Linked DNA regions of Rattus norvegicus. The protein of the gene in region 1 interacts with the protein of each later gene in a biochemical or structural test. Links are inferred from orthologs where the notes say so. Each region holds a gene or a part of one and is shown in the gene's direction. Other genes may lie near its edges. The genes, in order: Tor1a, Tor1aip2 and Tor1aip1.

Region 1 (5,445 bases):
GACCATCTCAGCAGGCAAAGTTTAGAATCAGCAATCAAACCACGCCGACAGTGTGGCCGTGGGTAGGCTATGATGGAAATAGCACTTCACATTGGCAACCCCTTTCCAGAACCCTAGTCTAACGGTGAGAAATGTCAAATTCCCATAGAAGGACACCTGCGAAGATTTTCAGGACAAGGGTATATATAGCTCAATGGTACAGCTACACGCAAAGGGCCCAAGGTTCAATCCCCAGGAATGGCAACAACAAAAGGCCAGGCCTATGTCCCAGAACTAGGGAGATTGAGGCAGGAGGATCAAAAGTTCGTAACCAGCCTGTACTATGTAGCAAGTTGAAAAAGTCTTGAAGATTTTAGCTTAAAACAAAGAGGTTGCAGAGATGGCTAGCAGGTTGAGAGTACAGTTCTTGAACATGACCTAGAGCCTAGCTCCCATCCCCCCACCCCCATCCCAAAGAAATCTTAAAATGAAGTCAAACAAGAAACAGAAGGTCTGAGGCATATCTCCATGGAGCATTTGCCTACAATGCATGAGGCCCTGGGTTTCATTCTCAGAACTCCCCTTCCCCAAGTGTCTAGTACTTCTCAAAACTCTCAAAGTCATTTTAAAAAGCACCCAAGAGAAGCTGAGGAGTTAGCACTGTGGAGAGCTTAACGTGTTCCCTTTTAGTGGTAATTTACAAATGTTGCAGCTTTCTCTTAACCCAACTAGCTCCCAAATAATTGAGACAGAATTATTTAACAGCTTTAAAGTACAATAACTGAGCAGTATTCATTTATTTTAATCCTCTAAACTAATCTAACTACTTGATAGCCCTGAGATACTTGAATTTTATTGCTTTCTCTGCTCTAGCTGTTCTTTTATGATTATGATGTTGCCTGGACTCCCCCACCTCATAGCTAAATTCTCACTTCCTCCCTTTCTCCTGCTCTGTCATTGGCTGATCAGCCCTTTATTGACCAATCATGGAATAATTGGGGAGCGATGTTTACACAACATTGATGACAGGAGATTCTCAAAATAAGGATTGCAACCAGGTCCGAGGGCACCGGGCACCGTAGTCAGCATTTGAATAATACAAGGATCATCCTTTTTTTTTGTTTGTTTGTTTTTGTTTTGGTTCTTTTTTTCGGAGCTGGGGACCGAACCCAGGGCCTTGCGCTTCCTAGGCAAGCGCTCTACCACTGAGCTAAATCCCCAACCCCTACAAGGATCATCCTTACACACTGCTCAGTACCACCATAGTAGTGAGGAAACTCAGCTACAGTTTCCTAAGCAAGAAACTGGGTGAACTATGGGCTTTATTTAATAATTCTGGTCATGGATTCTTTTTTTTAAAGATTTATTTATTTTCCCAGCTCCGAAAAAAAGAACCAAAAAAAAAAAAAAAGATTTATTTATTTTATGTATGAGGACACTGTAGCCATCATACATACCAGAAGAGGGCATCGGATCCCATTACAGATGGTTGTGAGCCACCACATGGTTGCTGGGAATTGAACTCAGGACTGCTGGAAGAGTAGTCAGTGCTTTTAACTGTTGAACCGTCTCTCCAGCCCTAGTCGTGGATTTTTAACAAGTATAATATACAGATAATATACAGACGCCTTTTTTTTTTTTTTTTTTGAGATTCAGTCTCACTGTTGAGTCCCAGCTGCTCCTAGAATTCCACAGGGTGGCCTCCAATTCAGACATCGAAGACATCCTGCTGCCTCTACCTCCCAGAGTGTTGGAAGGTGCACACCACCCACCACACCTGGACCAAATGTCAGATTTTAATAATAGGGAAACAAGTTGGGGACCCACTATATTATACTCACATTTTAAAAATTATTGGGGTTGGGGATTTAGCTCAGTGGTAGAGCGCTTGCCTAGCAAGCTCAAGGCCCTGGGTTCGGTCCCCAGCTCCGAAAAAAAAGAAAAAAGAAAAAAAATTATTCATTTACGTTTTAATTTATGCATGTGTGTATGCCTACAAGTTTATGAGCGCCACATGCATGTAGATGCCTGTACCATTAAAGAAAATGGTTCTAAAACACGCTTATTTGATGGGGATGGGCAAACAGTCATCATCACCTCATTCCTACAACGTCAATATTATTCCTATAACGTCGAGGTTCAGAAGCAGAAAGGACTTTGCCCTTAACAAAGATGGTAGCCACTAGCGTTGGGAGACGGTCTGCCCGGGACAAAGAGGGCGGCCCCGCCAACAGGAACCGGAAACACCAGTCTGGGCGGTGCGCGGGGAACGGTGGGCGCTGAGACGCGCAAGGTGCGCGGGTCCGGGCATGAAGCTGGGCCGGGCCACTCTGGCCCTGCTGCTGCTGGTGCCGTGCGTGGTTCGTGCGGTGGAGCCCATCAGCCTGGGTCTGGCCCTAGCCGGCGTACTCACCGGCTATATCTCCTATCCTCGCCTCTACTGCCTCTTCGCCGAGTGCTGCGGCCAGAAGCGGAGCCTCAGCCGTGAGGGTAGGTGGGCATCAGGCAGCGGGGATGCTGCGGCAGGAGGATGACGCCGCGGCCAGGACAGACTTTGGTCAGAGGCCAGGGAGGTGAATGGTCGGGGCCAGGGACAGGATGTCAGCCCTGCGCAGAGCTCACCGGGGCGGCCTCACGGCGCCTCTTCCGCTTAGCTTTGGGGCGCAGCCTGGCAGTAGCCCGAGACATCTCAAGGCCAACCCCTAGGAAAGGGCAGAGTTCGCAGTACCAGGGTCCTTCCGCGCTCTCCAGATCAGGCTCCGCGGGCCTTGACAGCCTGGAAATGGGGCTGCATTTTGCCAGCTTGTTTCCCTCCTGACCAGAGTGATCTTTCTTTTCCCAGCGCTGCAGAAGGATCTGGATAACAAGCTCTTTGGACAACACCTTGCCAAAAGAGTCATCTTAAACGCCGTGTCTGGTTTCCTAAGCAACCCGAAGCCCAAGAAGCCCCTCACCCTCTCCCTGCACGGGTGGACAGGCACCGGCAAAAACTTCGCTAGCAAGATCATCGCAGAGAATATTTACGAGGGTGGACTGAACAGTGACTATGTACACCTGTTTGTGGCCACGCTACACTTCCCCCACGCCTCTAACATCACCCTGTATAAGGCAAGAGCATTAATTGGCCGCCTTCGTAGATGACCCGGGATTGGGGTTTCTCTGTTGTGGGCTGGGATGTGGGAATTCCACGTCAGTGAGTGAGCCTCGATATGGCTCAGTATGTCAATTCCTCTTTAAAAGGTGTGCACAGAACTGGCCGTGGTCATATCCGTGGGAGGAATGGCAGCTGATAGGATAGCCTGTGTTTCAAAGGGAACTATCAAGGGCTGGGGGTAGCTCAGGGTAGAACACTTGCCCAGAGTGTGTGAAGTTTTGGATTAAATATCTCCACCCCATCCCACCCCCACCCTGCCCGGCCCGCTGCGGTGGGGATGGATATGTAAGTTACAAAGGGTTTGATATACACAGAGCAATTAGACGAGTGACCGCCAACCACCAACGCTCAGTAAGGTAACACTTGGCTGTGGAAGTGGGGTCACAATCAACTCCATGGTCTTTAGGAGTCGCCGCCCTCCCCTCATTGTGAAAAGGAGACCTAAGTTTGTTTTGACTCAGCTGTTGCAACCTGCTATTGGAGTTTAACTTTGACGGGCTCACACCTGAATTCAGGTCCTGCCCTTTCCTACAGCTGCGCAGTTGGGGCTGTCACATAACCTATGAAGGGACACTCTGTTTAAAAATGGTGTTTCACCCTCACCTGTGTTCGCGCACTCCCCTTTCTGTTGAGCGTCGTTGTTGAATCTGTGTGGCTTTGTGCGGGTCGTTTAATCTCGGTGCCTGAGGTCAGCTGGGTGTTTTCCTACACACCTGTATTCCCAGCAGGCTGAGGCAGGAGGATCACATGTTTGAGGTTAGTCTGGGCTGCATAGTAAGCCTCCCTTTGAAGACAGAAATGGAGAGGGCAGCAGGTGGAGGAAGCAAGGAAAGTAGGGGCCCGGCATCATTTCCTCAGTGGCTTTGGGGAGGAGATTCTAAATGTTCAAGGAGCAATGCTTGGAAGAGTGTCTCGCTGTAGTGGGCGCTGGCACGAAGTCTGTTACTCTGGTAGATTGGGACAGGAGACTGGGCAAACCTTCTCTGTTGGATTCTAACAACTGAGTGAGTTTATGGAAATGTTCCCTGACCACATGGTGTTAGCCAGCCACTCGAGGTCTCTGAAGGTTCCTCTACGGACGGAGGTTTCTCAACCTTCCCAATGCTGTGACCCTTTAATTCAGTTCCTCATAGAAGGATTTCAGTGTTACTTCATAACTGTAATTTTGCTGTTATGAACCTTAATGTAAACATCTGATATGCGGGTAGCTGATAAGTGAGCCTCCCAGGGTCTCGGCCCACCGGCAGGTTGAGAACAGCTACTGGAGGAGGGAGGTGGTCCATGCTTGCCGAGTGGCTGCTTACATTAGATACAAATGGAAACCTGTAAGCTGGTTATGGAGCCGATAGAAAACCCCAAGCTGATGTACAATACAGCTTCCCGTGTGTCCTTTAGGAAGATACATAGCTGCCTGCTCTCCCGGCTCACTTGAGGAGGAGGAGGGTGGGTGGAAATACCCACATGTTAGGTAGAATTGGGGCTCAGTTTTCTGAGGAAGATGCTTAAAGAGGTCTATGTGTCTCCCCTTGATGATCTTGTAAGAACCTGGCTGGGGTTTGCTAAGGGCTGGCTTTGGGTCACTGAGGCCCTGATTGCATTCTTTAGCATCTGCCCACCAAACAACCGTATACCAATAAGGTGGGTTTGTTTGTTTGCTTTGTTCTTGAGGCAGCTGCCTGTGCTCACGGTTGTAGCCTGGGCAGCCCTGAACTCTGTCATCACCATCATTTTCATTTGGTTTGTTTTTTTTTAATTTTGTGTTTGGTGTGCTTCTGAGCCTGTGTGTTGATGGAGGCCATAGGTCTGTCTCTGGTGATGTTCCTTGGGATCTGTCTCCAAATGCGTCAGGAAAGCCTCGCCACACCGCTCCCAGAATGCTGAGCACTCGAGCTCAGACTCCCTAAGGAAGCCTTGTGTAGCGCTGTGACTGAATTGGTGCTTCCCCAGGCTGGACTGCAGAGGAAGGGCTGAGGCGATGGTGGGTTTGTGGGTTTCTGCCTCTCACCAAGAGGCTGTCATGCCCACGATATACGTGAGGATAGCTGGGGCCTGACTGGCACAGCCTCAGTGTGTTTTAGTGTAAAGTCACAAACCTGGAGCTCTGGCATAGGGCAGAGCTAGACTGAGATCCCACCCTGCCTGGCCCAATTCTCTTGTCTCAGGCAAGCTGCTGAAGTGCTCTGTGCCTCAGGGTCCTCCCTGTGGCATGGGTATGATGCTGTCCATACCGGAAGTGCTTGTGAGGCCAAAGGCGTATGTTTGTAATGTTCACAGCACAGTGCTCCAGAAGCCCAGCCATTGTCCTGAGGGGG
Region 2 (5,383 bases), on another chromosome or scaffold:
TATGTATACTAAAAGAGGTAACATTATAGACAGTAGATTCATTTCCAGTATTATAAGAGATTTTTCTGGGCCATGAGTGTGGTGATCTGCGCTTTGAACTTAAAGCAGTTTCTTTGGGAATTAGAGAAATGTGGCAGAATGAAGAATTTTACTTAGAGATTTTGCCATATGTTAGAGAGGACAGATGCACAAAAAATGAAATTGAAGTTACTGATAAGTATTAACTGGTATGTGTAGCTAACAGTTATACCTAGAAATTCTGTGCTTTTTATATTGACTTTCTAAATTAAGCAACTTTTAAATTAAAAAGAAAATTGTGTATAACTGTTTTGCCTGCGTGTATACCAGTGTACCAAGTATGCGCCTGGTGCCAGTGGAGGCCAGAGAAGGGCATTGGATCTCCTAGAATTGGAGTTACAGACAGTTGTTAGCCAGCATGTGTGTGCTGAGAACCAAACCTCCATCCTCTGTAAGAACAGTCATTGCTCTTCAGCCGTTTTTAATGAAAGTATTTTAATGGGAAGAGCTTTTTGAAACAGGGACTAATGTAGCCTAGACTGGCCTAAACCTCCTGGTTCTCTTTCTCCAACCTCCCAAGTGCTAGGATTACAGATATATGTCACTGATGCCATGCCTGGCAAAACATTTAAAAAATCTCCTTTTAATTATTGAAAGAGCGTGGAGGGTGGCTAGAGAGAGATTGCCTAAGACTTTTTTCTTTAAAGATTTATTTATTATATATAAGTACACTGTAGCTGTCTTCAGACACACCAGAAGAGGGCATCAGATCCCATTGCAGAGAGTTGTGAGCCATCATGTGGTTGCTGGGAATTGAACTCAGGACCTCTGGAAGAGCAGTCAGTGCTCTTAACCACTGAGCCATCTCTCCAGCCTGATTACCTAAGTCTTGAGTACTTAACTGTTCTTATTGCTCCCAGCACCCATATGGTACCTCACAATAGCTTGTAACCCCAGCAGTTGGGTGATCTGATGCCCTCCACTGGCCTCCTTAAACTCTAAGAACATGGTTCACATTAACTCCCATAGATGCATGTATACACATATAAGTAAAATATTTTTTAAAAAGATAATTGATGGGCTGGAGAGATGGCACAGGCCTGTTAATTCCTGCACAGGAAAGAGGGTGCTGAGTTTAAGTCTGAGACTTAAACTAAGAGTTTAAGAGTTTTCTAAGAGTTCCTGGTAAGACTGGTCAACTTAAATCCTGTCTTACAATAAAGTAAAACTTATGGAGATATGCCCACCTCTGCCTTCTGAGTGCTGGGGACTGAAGGCTGTACCCCCAAACCCCAAAATAAGAGCTATTTTTGGTACCTAGTCTATTATTGCCTGTTAGCAGACATGCTATTTAGGTACTCACAACAACTTCACGTGGGTATGAAGCCTTGTCCCCACTGACCCACGCGCAAACTAAGTTTTAGATTAAACAATCAGTTTGAGGATAGCCTCTAGTTAGAGTAAGAGGCTGGGTTCAAAGGCGTGTCTTAGTGAGTGGTGCTTGCCACTATCTTCACTTACTGTCTCTTACTTTTCTGCCCTCGTGTGGTTTTGTAAGCTTTGTATTTCAGGTTATTATAAGGGACGAGGTGGTCAGAGTCTTGCAGCCTGTTTACATAGTCACTTCAGCCTTGAGAAATAGTGCTGGCTGTGGCTGGAAGGCTTGCACAGAAGCTTGTGCTAACGTTCTAGGAAGTCTAGTGGGAGGAGCTGGGGGAGGTGGGGCCAAAGGACTACCTATCCCAGCATTCCGCGGGCTCCTCCCTGCGGAGCTCACGTCACGTGGGCGGTACAGGCGACATTCTGCCGTGGCGGCTGGGGGTTGCAGACCAGCGCTGTGGAGCAGGAGGGACAGCCGAGTGGCGCCGCTGATCCTGACTGTCCCATATTTTAAAACCTGGCTGGAAATTGTAAGTAAGCAAAACGAAAACACAACTTTAACATTATTTTAGTGTCTGAACTACTATTTTCTCCTTTCAAAAGGTCTTTGAAAAAGGATCCCTCCCCACCCCCACCTCCCCTACGGCACAAACAGAAATCGAGGTAGGTTGGGATGGGTCTGTAATTTCCGGGAGGGTGCAGAAAACATACCTGGAATCTTTCAAGCATAAAACGAAACAAGGTGAGAGTAGATTTTTGATACGGACTGTAGATGAGAGGTAAGATTACTTAAAAGTTTTCAAATGTAAACCAGAATTCTTATTGTAAGAGTTCATTTCTCTTATTTCGCTGCGTAAGGATTCCAGTAATCTTCTAATCCTTAAAAGATAGAACAGTTAAGTTTTTCAGTTAGTAACTAGTAATGCTGAAATGGACAAACTTTGAAACTCGGAATTACTTTACTTACCTATTTATGTACTCAACTGTTTCATACCCAGCTTTTTAAAAAAAACAAAAAAACTTCTTTGAACAAAATCTTTGGTAGTCTCTACTTTGTCAGATTTTATGCTTGTTTATATAGATCCAGGGATGTTAACTTTTCTAATTAAATTTGCCTGTTTTGTTTGCCTTACCTCCCCCTCCCCCCACCGTGAAGGTAGTTTCTGTTTCTGGCCCTGGCTGGCCCCGAACTCCTGCCTCTGCCTCTGGAGCGCTGGGATCAAAGGCATGCACTACCACACCCAAGTGCCTGTCCTTAGGTTTAAAAACCGCTTATTTAAATGTATAAGAGGGTTTTGTTGGGTTTTTTGTTGTTTTTTTAAAGGCTGCGTGCAGCGAGGACCCAGGACTACCAGTTTTATATACTGTATAAGTCCTTTGCAAATAGAAAATAATTTAAGTAAAGAACTTCCGCAGTAGACAAACTAAAAATAAAAAACGTTCTAGGAAGCCTTTTGAATAGCTTAAAAAAAACAACCTGAGGTTGTGTATGAAAACTTTGAGGCCCTTAAGTAGTGTTGTTGATCTGGATGCAGAGTCCACCCCCAGATAAGGAGGTTTGTTGCAGTTATCATGTGACCTTAGCTGACTCATTTACTCTTTTTTTTTTTTTAGTAGTTTCCCTCCTAATGTAGAGGTACCACACCTAGAGCTTCTGTAATAAACAAGTAACCAGAATTTAGCTGGTCACTTGAGGAGTAGGGTTTTTGGTTAGTTTGCTTGTTTTGTGGGTTTTTTTTTTTAGTTTATTTTTCTGAGGTAGGATCTCTGTATTCTATATCCCTGGCCTCCCTGGACCCCTCTATTAAGCCAGTTTAATGTGACCTCAGAGAGCACAAGCCTCTGCCTCCTCAATAGAGAGTTGTGCCACCAGCACTTGACTGTTGTAGTTGTGCATTGCGTCCTGCACGTAGTTATTGTAAACCATCCCAAGGAACTAAAGTGCCCCTTAAATTTCTCAAGGGGAAATTGGTTTAGAGAAGCTTTGTCTGCCTTTCAGTTTCCTATTAAGCTTCAAGGCCACTATGAAAAGCACACACACACTTGGCTTTCTGCAGCCCACACCCTCGTGGGTCTGAGTTTCCAACACCCTTGTCAATTGACCTACAAGTGGTTTTCCAGTGTAGTTCTCATATTTTATCATAAGCTTTGCACAGTAAGACAAGCGTTTGTCAGTAAGGGTATCTTGAACAGTGACTGTATACGTGGACTTTGGAGTCATAACTGATCGGACTTCCGGTACTATCTGAGGATCGTAGGACTTTGGCAGATAACTACTTCTGAGCCTGTTTCCTTAGCAAAGTGGAGAACTGTAGGGTCATTTAGAATATTTAATGAAATCATTTATGTACAGAAGTAAAAACAGCTATTATTAATTGGGTTTTTTCCCCTGTATAAAATATTAGAAGGATTATATATAGAATGTGATTTTGGTAACCCAGATTGAAATGAAAAAAGTTCATCTGTAATTTTGTAACTTCTACAGGTCAAATCGTATTGCTTTTTAGTAACTCTGCTTTAGTACTTGACAAAACCAAATTTAAAATGTTAGCTTTTGCACTCTGAAGGTGTAGATAGGTCTAACAGAGCTACCTGGATTTGCCTCTTTCTATCTTGATAGAACAAAACAGCAGGGCTTTAAGTATTGCAGGTCCACTTAAGAGCGCCAGTGTTTGAGACCTTTCTGTGTGCTTCAGTAGGGCTACATGCTGCTCTCATTTAAGTGTCGTGCTGCTTTCCACCGTCTAGGTGGTGGCATTGCACTGGTTGTTACGAACAGCTGCAGCATCAAGATGGAATTCTAGTTAGCCCAGAAGCAGCCATTCGGGTTCAGGCAGAAAAGGAGATTGCCGTCGGTCAGTATTTGTAGACTTTCTGTGGATGTCGGGCCATTCTACATTCATCCTAGGGATTGACTTCAAACTTCTCTGCACAAAAGAAATGGTGTTTATGCTTTGACTATTTGGCCCACCATTTTAACATTTTATAGGGAAATAAAAGAAGAAGAAGATAAAAATACAATTTAGACTCAGGGCGTGGTGCAGATTTTTATTTTATTTTTTTAGGACGGGGTTTCTCTGTGTAGCCCTAGCTGTCCTGGAACCTGTCCATAGGTCAGGCTGGCCTCCAACTCAGAGATTCTCCTGTGTCTGCTGAGTGCTGGATTGAAGGCCTGGCCCGCCTACCCACTTCTAAGTTGTTTTCTCAAAAAGAGTAATAAGCATGGTATTTTTATAGTAAAGGGAACTAACTTTTCTTTAAAGAGAAATGTTTTCTTTAAATGTTAAACTTTGTGGGACCTGAGTTTAGATCCCAGTGTAGGAGTAAAAAGTCAGGTGTGGCTTGTAACTGCAGGCTTGCCTTGTAACCTCAGGCTAGCTCCAGATTCAGCAACTTAACCCTGTCTCAGAGGGTCATCTGGCATGAGACCCATGGGGTTTTTTTTTGTTTGTTTGTTTGTTTGTTTGTTTTTGTTTTTTTTAAGATTTATTTATTTACTTAATGTATATAAGCACACTGTAGCTGTCCTCAGACACACCCAACCCCATTACAGATGGTTGTGAGCCACCATGTGGTTGCTGGGAATTGAACTCAGGACCTTGAGAAGAACAGTCGGTGCTCTTAACTGCTGAGCCATCTCTCCAGCCCCCGACCCATGGGTTTTTAAGAGAGTCAGGTCTAATGGGTCTCAGGGATGGTGTGTCTAAATTTGTAGTTCAAACAAACTCCCAGGAAGTGGAATGATTCTTGGCTGATTAGTTGAGTATAGTAAAGAAGTGAAGGAATGGTGGTAAACTGGGTCCAGTAGCACCAACCTTTGTTACTAGCTACTTAGTAAGCTAAGAGAGCAAGATTTTAGGTTTAGGGACCACCAGAGCAACATGATGAGGTCCTGGTTTAACAACAGAAGTTATTGTCTTAATTGTTACTTTGATGGTGCCTCCCCAATAGAAGTGGATGTTCAGATCTTGGATTTTGAAAAGCT
Region 3 (5,531 bases), on another chromosome or scaffold:
GGCACTTTACGAAGAAAGCCTTACTGGGAAAGACACAAGTCAGACATTACCAAGAATTAGTTCTTTTCAGCATTTTGTTAAAAAAAAGTCACACATTTTTCAGGATACCGTGAATTTTATTTTTGTTTTTCCTTTAAAAGTTTTTTTTTTTTTTTTTAAAGTGGGACCAAGTGTGGTGGCCCAAACCTTTAATCCTAGCATTTAGGGAAGTAGGCGGATCTCTGTGAGCCTGAGGTCAGTCTGATCTACAGTTCCAGGACAGGAGAGATATATTACATCCCCTTCCCCTTCCCCCTTTTCCCCTTCCCCTTCTCTCTCTCTTACACACACACACACACACACACACACACACACACACACACACACACGTCTTTAAAAAAAGAGGGCATCTGTCTTGTTATGGTTCCTCTAGTTTCTTTGGCTATATTTCTTTGTAGTTAATAAACAATGCTAAATGAAGCTCCAAAAAGGATATATCCTGCCTGACTTGTCATCTAACTCTGTGTTGCTGACCAAATTTATGGACTATTAGTGAAAATTCCAGTAACTAGAAATTTGTCTAAGTTTGAGTAACAGTTTAAGGGCATTATTTAAAATACTGGAAAAGGCAAACACTTTAAATTTTTTCAAAACCACTGGTTAGAAGTGGCTTCCAAATAAAAACTTAAAACCAATTCTTTTAGGGCTGGGGTATAGCTTAATGGTAAAGCACTTGCTTAGTAAGCTTCAGACCCTAGGTTCAGTTCCCAGTATTTGTGGGAGTGGGGGGTGTGTATTCATTTATATATACAAAGTCTTCTAGGAGACACGCTATGTGGTTGGATGTAGGTTTTTCTCAGTAGTAACTCAAGACTTTACAAGTAAACCAACCTTTCTTCTTCAGTTTGTCTAAATTTCGTTACACGCATGTAAGTATGGTACACAGAACTGAAGGTTTTGATCATGTTTTCGTATTCTGTGAATGTAAGAAACTCTAAACAAAATGTAGAGATTATCATATTCAGAATCGAAGTAAAAGATGGCTCTCAAGATTACAGTGCCATCTTTAGTCGGGTACCTGTCCATTTCATACTGTGTCTAAGGCAACATTCAGCCTTCTTTCCCAACAGTGTTGCTGGAGCAGAACTTTCACATAAAAGTTCAGGAATAAGGGCCCATAGGTGAATTAAAAATTTAAACTGGGTAAAAGCAGTTTCATAAAGGTCCTTGAAACTATAATTTTCGCCATGACATGCAAAATTATCTGATCATTTCTCCTCCCAGGGACATTTGAAAAGGAGTGGCCAAAGTAGCAGGGAAACTGCGCAACAGTTTGGGATTAAGAACTGAAGCTTGCCCTTTCCCAGAGCCTCTGGGTGCCAGGACCAGCGCCTCCTGTGGTGGGCAACTGGCCATCAACAGATTAGAACAGGCCACTTGTCCTACCACCTCCTGGTCGCCCCCACCTTCCCCTCCCTCAAGGCCAAGGACAGAGACGTCCTCCTCCCACTTCTCCTCCTCTTTGGTGCCTCCAGCCAGGAGGCGGGAGTGACCCACAGCAGCTGACCCAGCTCGGGCACTGCCTCTTCCACAGCCCTTAAAACACACCATGGGCCCAGAGGCTGGTTTGTGGCACACTAGCGAGGACGCAGGAGGTGGCGCCGGCAACTCTCAACTGCCTCCCTGACCACTGTGACAACCTCCTCGAAGCCATCGCCACCACCTGCAGTGGAATCGAACCGCGGAAAGTCCATCGTCCCTATCGACCAACAGCTACGTAAACAACTATGGCGGGAGAGAGGTGGCGGGCCGAGGGGCTGGGAGAAGGATGGGCCATCTACGTCACACCCAGAGCCCCCATCCGGGAGGGAAGGCGGAGGCTCGCCACTCAAAATGGCGACGGGAGTGACGCGCCTGCGTACGAAACTCATCCGTCGCGCCACGGACGACGGGAAGTGAGGTTTTCAGAAGAGCCGCCAGAAGTGTACGGCGACTTCGAGCCCCGGGCGGCCAAAGAAAGGTCTCCGGGGGAAAGACGAACCCCGCCAGAAAAGTTCCGGTCGGATTCTGCGAAAGAGGAAGTGAGAGAAAGCGCTTACAATCTTCGGTCTCGACAACGGAGGCAGCGGGGACCCCAGGAAGCCGAGGAGATGAAGACGCGGAGGTCTACTCGTCTGGAGCAGCACTCACAGCAGGCGCAGCAGCAGCTGTCACCGGCTACGAGCGGGCGAGGATTACGGGACGCTCAGTCCTTAAGTGAGGACCGCGGAGGTAACAGTCTCGGCTGCCTGCTCGGGAGCGCGCGCGGTGGCGGGCACGGGCGCACGCGGCGTGAGGCGCGCCCCTGTGGAGTCCGGCCCCGCTAGGGTAGTGGTGATGATTCCTTGACCCTTTGGGCTCGCACTCCCGGGCTGAGTCCACCCGGACCTTCAAGAGGGAAGGACGCGCTAATCCGCGCGGAAAGATGGTGGTGCGAAGTGACCCGAGCGGAGGCGGGGAGCTCTGCCCATTCCTGAGCATCAGTTTGGGGGTGTCTACGTCTCTTTTTTTTGTAGACTTTTGCTAAACTAGGCCATTGTCAGGGCTCCTCCAAATTGCTCTGCGCTGTTTCATTTCCGCCCCCTCTGAGGTTTCTACTGAAGCCACTTCCATTTCCTTTTTTTGTATTTTAAATCTCGGGGGCCCCAAGTCCCCTGCTGAAAATTCTGGTTTTAAGTTAACTTTCCAGTCGATTTCTTTTTTTCACCAAGATTGGGAAAACGAGATCTTTTCTAGGCGAACGCTACGAGGAATAGCTAACTTGAATGAATTGACTGTTGATATTACTCCAAGTATATAGTATGGTCTCTGCCATACTTTATCCCAGATTGAAGGCCATCCCTGTAACCTTCAGTAGCTAAACAAATCAAGGCTGAGAAAGTACCGGAACAAAACAAGGCTCTGTTTATTAGGAAAGCTTCTTTTATATGAAGCCCCAAATTCGGACAGGGTGTGTACTGTAGTTTTGGTAAAGCCACAGATGAATCAAATTTCTTCAAGCCACCCTCCCATTCCCTGCTCTCTGAGTCACAGGTGGTTTCCAGTAGGCCCCAGGTAAGTCACCTAATTATGAGGTAAAATTCTGAGGTTTAGACTCACAATGGGATGTCCTTGGTAATAATGGTAGACATCTGATACATCTAAAGAGGAGTGGATTTTCACCTTAGAGCACAGTAAACGGCTTGCAGATTTACCTACTTGCCCTTAAAATCCTGACACACTTGAAGATCTGTTGACTTTAGACTAAACTACGCTTGAGATGTGCACGTTTTTTTGAATGTAACGAGACAGTTTATTTCTTATATATACCAATAGAATTTCTCTTAAGATAGCAAACTTGAAAAAAAGGAACTTGTCATGCATGTATGCCTGCTGGACATTTAGATACTTGGGTTCTGTCTCCTGGGAGGCAATGTAACTATATTTCCTTTTATTGACTTTCCCTCAGAGCCTCCTGCACCTAAATACATTTTACCTTTTACTAAATTTTTGGAGGACTAAAACATTTCTTTTTCCTGCTGATTTTTTTGATTCTGAAACTCATCTTTTTAATTTTCTAAAGTAACATTTTTGTTGTAAAGCAACAATTAGTTTATATTTTGTTTTACTTATATGTGTGTCTGCAGCTGCATGTATCTGATGGCATTTGGTCCCTTGGAGCTGAAGCTACAGAATATTGTAAGCCTTTTGGACTGGTGTGCAGGAATCTTCAAGTTCTCAGAAAGAGCATCAAATGCTCTTTAAGGTTTAAACACTAAACCTTCTCCAGACCTCATTATACTGTATCTTAATAAGATTTCTAATTAGGTTAATTCCCAAGTTTTGAACCTAGAGAAATTGAGTACTTGCATCTCTGTTTATAGATTAGTGTTAAATATGCATACTCTATGCTGTGATCTCTCCCAGCTCATCTAACTTGAATTTTTATCTCTTGTCGTTGCTATAGAGGATGAACCTTCTTCCCAACCTGTTACAAGCCAAACAGTCTCAAAGAAAACTGTCAGGACACCAGAGACTTCAGGTAAGAATAGTTTGTTTTTTTTGTTTTTCTCTTTTCCTGCCAAAGAATCATCAAGAATCATAACTCAAGCTGGATGTGGTGTGACTTTAATCCAAGCACATGGGAGGCAGAGGTAGGCAGATCTCTGTAAGTTCAAGGCGAGCCTGGTCTACAAAGAGAGTTCCAGGATGGCCAGTGCTCTTACAGAGAAATCCTGTCTGAAAAACCATAAATAAATCAATCAATTACAAGAGTTTTGTGAGTCTGTTCGGTTCACTATAGAGCCATGGGGGTACTTCTTAGGACAGAGGAGGGTAAAAACTAAGTGTAAATTCAACTATGTGCTACTTTGTTAATCATCAGAACCTTGCAAGGAGTCTTCTGTCCCCTTAGTAGATGAGAAAACTGAAGCTCAGAGTATCTAAGACTTTTCTAAAATTATGTAATAGACGAGCAAATTAAAAGGCAGGCTTGTCTCTTTTGAAACCTATTCATTTTCCCCAAATGTTCACTTTCAGTCAAGTAATCATTCATAGTGTCACATGGTTGTGTCACAGTGCCCTCTGCTTAGTTGTTTCTGCGATGGTAAAACCCTGGCACAGTGAGTTTCAATTCTGTCAGGCTAAGTACTGTGTTTCTGTGAATCCAGGGTATCAGTCGTAAGGTAGGACAACATCGTTGCTTCTTGTACCACCTAGAAGAGAAGAGATACGGCCAGTTTCCTGGTAATTCATGTTAAGATGCCTTAATTGTATAGTATATGATTTCAGAGATGTTTAAAATGTAATAAAAATTGTCCTAGAAACCCTGTAACAGGGAATTAGGATACATTTAGTAGTTGCTCAAAGTCTGTTTTCCTTGAGTGTGCAGATGCTTATTGTTCACTTGTGGAGCTCAGAGGGAACCTTGTGAAGTAGATTCTCCTCTGTCCTTACATGATTTATGGATATTGAACTCCAGTTGTCAGACTTGGCAGCAAGTGCTTTTACCTACCGAGCCATCCTGTTGGCCTGAGAAAATGAAATTTTATACATAATTTTCTTGACTGAAAACAGCATGTTGAAACGGCTTTATTAAAAGCCCTATACCTTTGAACTCAGAACATCTGAAATGAACATGGCCAGCATTGGTGTTTCATTTAAAATTGGTCTTTCCATTGCTTGGACATTTACAAGATTGAATAGTTAAAGAGTATGTGTTAACTGTTAGGAGGTTGACTCTTAAAAATATATCACAAATTACGTGTGATAGCACATGCCTGTGATCCTGGCACTCGAGAAGCCAAGGCAGGAGGGGTTCTCTGATCTAAAGCCTGTCTATGCTGTGAAGTCAGGAGAAAAAAAATCCAACTTCACACATGGAAGAGATAATCCAATTGATTATATATAATGTATATTTTGGTCCCCCATACCACCCTGCTTTAGCATGCTGAGGATCCAACCCAGGCCTAGTACAGGCTGGAGAAGAGAAGCTACGTCTCTAGTCCCAGAGTTTGGTTGTTAATAGTTTTGTG

Evidence for each region.
Region 2: the proteins of Tor1a (region 1) and Tor1aip2 form a complex in vitro, tested with the Homo sapiens proteins (4 studies listed by BioGRID and IntAct, with this or other methods). The link is inferred for Rattus norvegicus from reciprocal best matches to the Homo sapiens genes TOR1A and TOR1AIP2.
Region 3: the proteins of Tor1a (region 1) and Tor1aip1 form a complex in vitro, tested with the Homo sapiens proteins (2 studies listed by BioGRID and IntAct). The link is inferred for Rattus norvegicus from reciprocal best matches to the Homo sapiens genes TOR1A and TOR1AIP1.

What each region holds. Positions count from the first base shown.
Region 1 is NC_086021.1:34,652,223-34,657,667, reverse strand, and holds the start of Tor1a (torsin-1A precursor), read left to right. Parts: upstream 1-2,250; 5' UTR 2,251-2,288; coding exon 2,289-2,469; intron 2,470-2,821; coding exon 2,822-3,087; intron 3,088-5,445. UniProt on the Homo sapiens protein: Protein with chaperone functions important for the control of protein folding, processing, stability and localization as well as for the reduction of misfolded protein aggregates.
Region 2 is NC_086031.1:70,778,440-70,783,822, forward strand, and holds the start of Tor1aip2 (torsin-1A-interacting protein 2), read left to right. Parts: upstream 1-1,830; 5' UTR 1,831-1,928; intron 1,929-2,001; exon of another isoform or gene 2,002-2,061; intron 2,062-5,383. UniProt on the Homo sapiens protein: Required for endoplasmic reticulum integrity. Regulates the distribution of TOR1A between the endoplasmic reticulum and the nuclear envelope as well as induces TOR1A, TOR1B and TOR3A ATPase activity.
Region 3 is NC_086031.1:70,772,171-70,777,701, reverse strand, and holds the start of Tor1aip1 (torsin-1A-interacting protein 1), read left to right. Parts: upstream 1-1,578; 5' UTR 1,579-1,766; coding exon 1,767-2,250; intron 2,251-2,699; exon of another isoform or gene 2,700-3,072; intron 3,073-3,141; exon of another isoform or gene 3,142-3,297; intron 3,298-3,964; coding exon 3,965-4,039; intron 4,040-5,531. UniProt on the Homo sapiens protein: Required for nuclear membrane integrity. Induces TOR1A and TOR1B ATPase activity and is required for their location on the nuclear membrane. Binds to A- and B-type lamins. Possible role in membrane attachment and assembly of the nuclear lamina.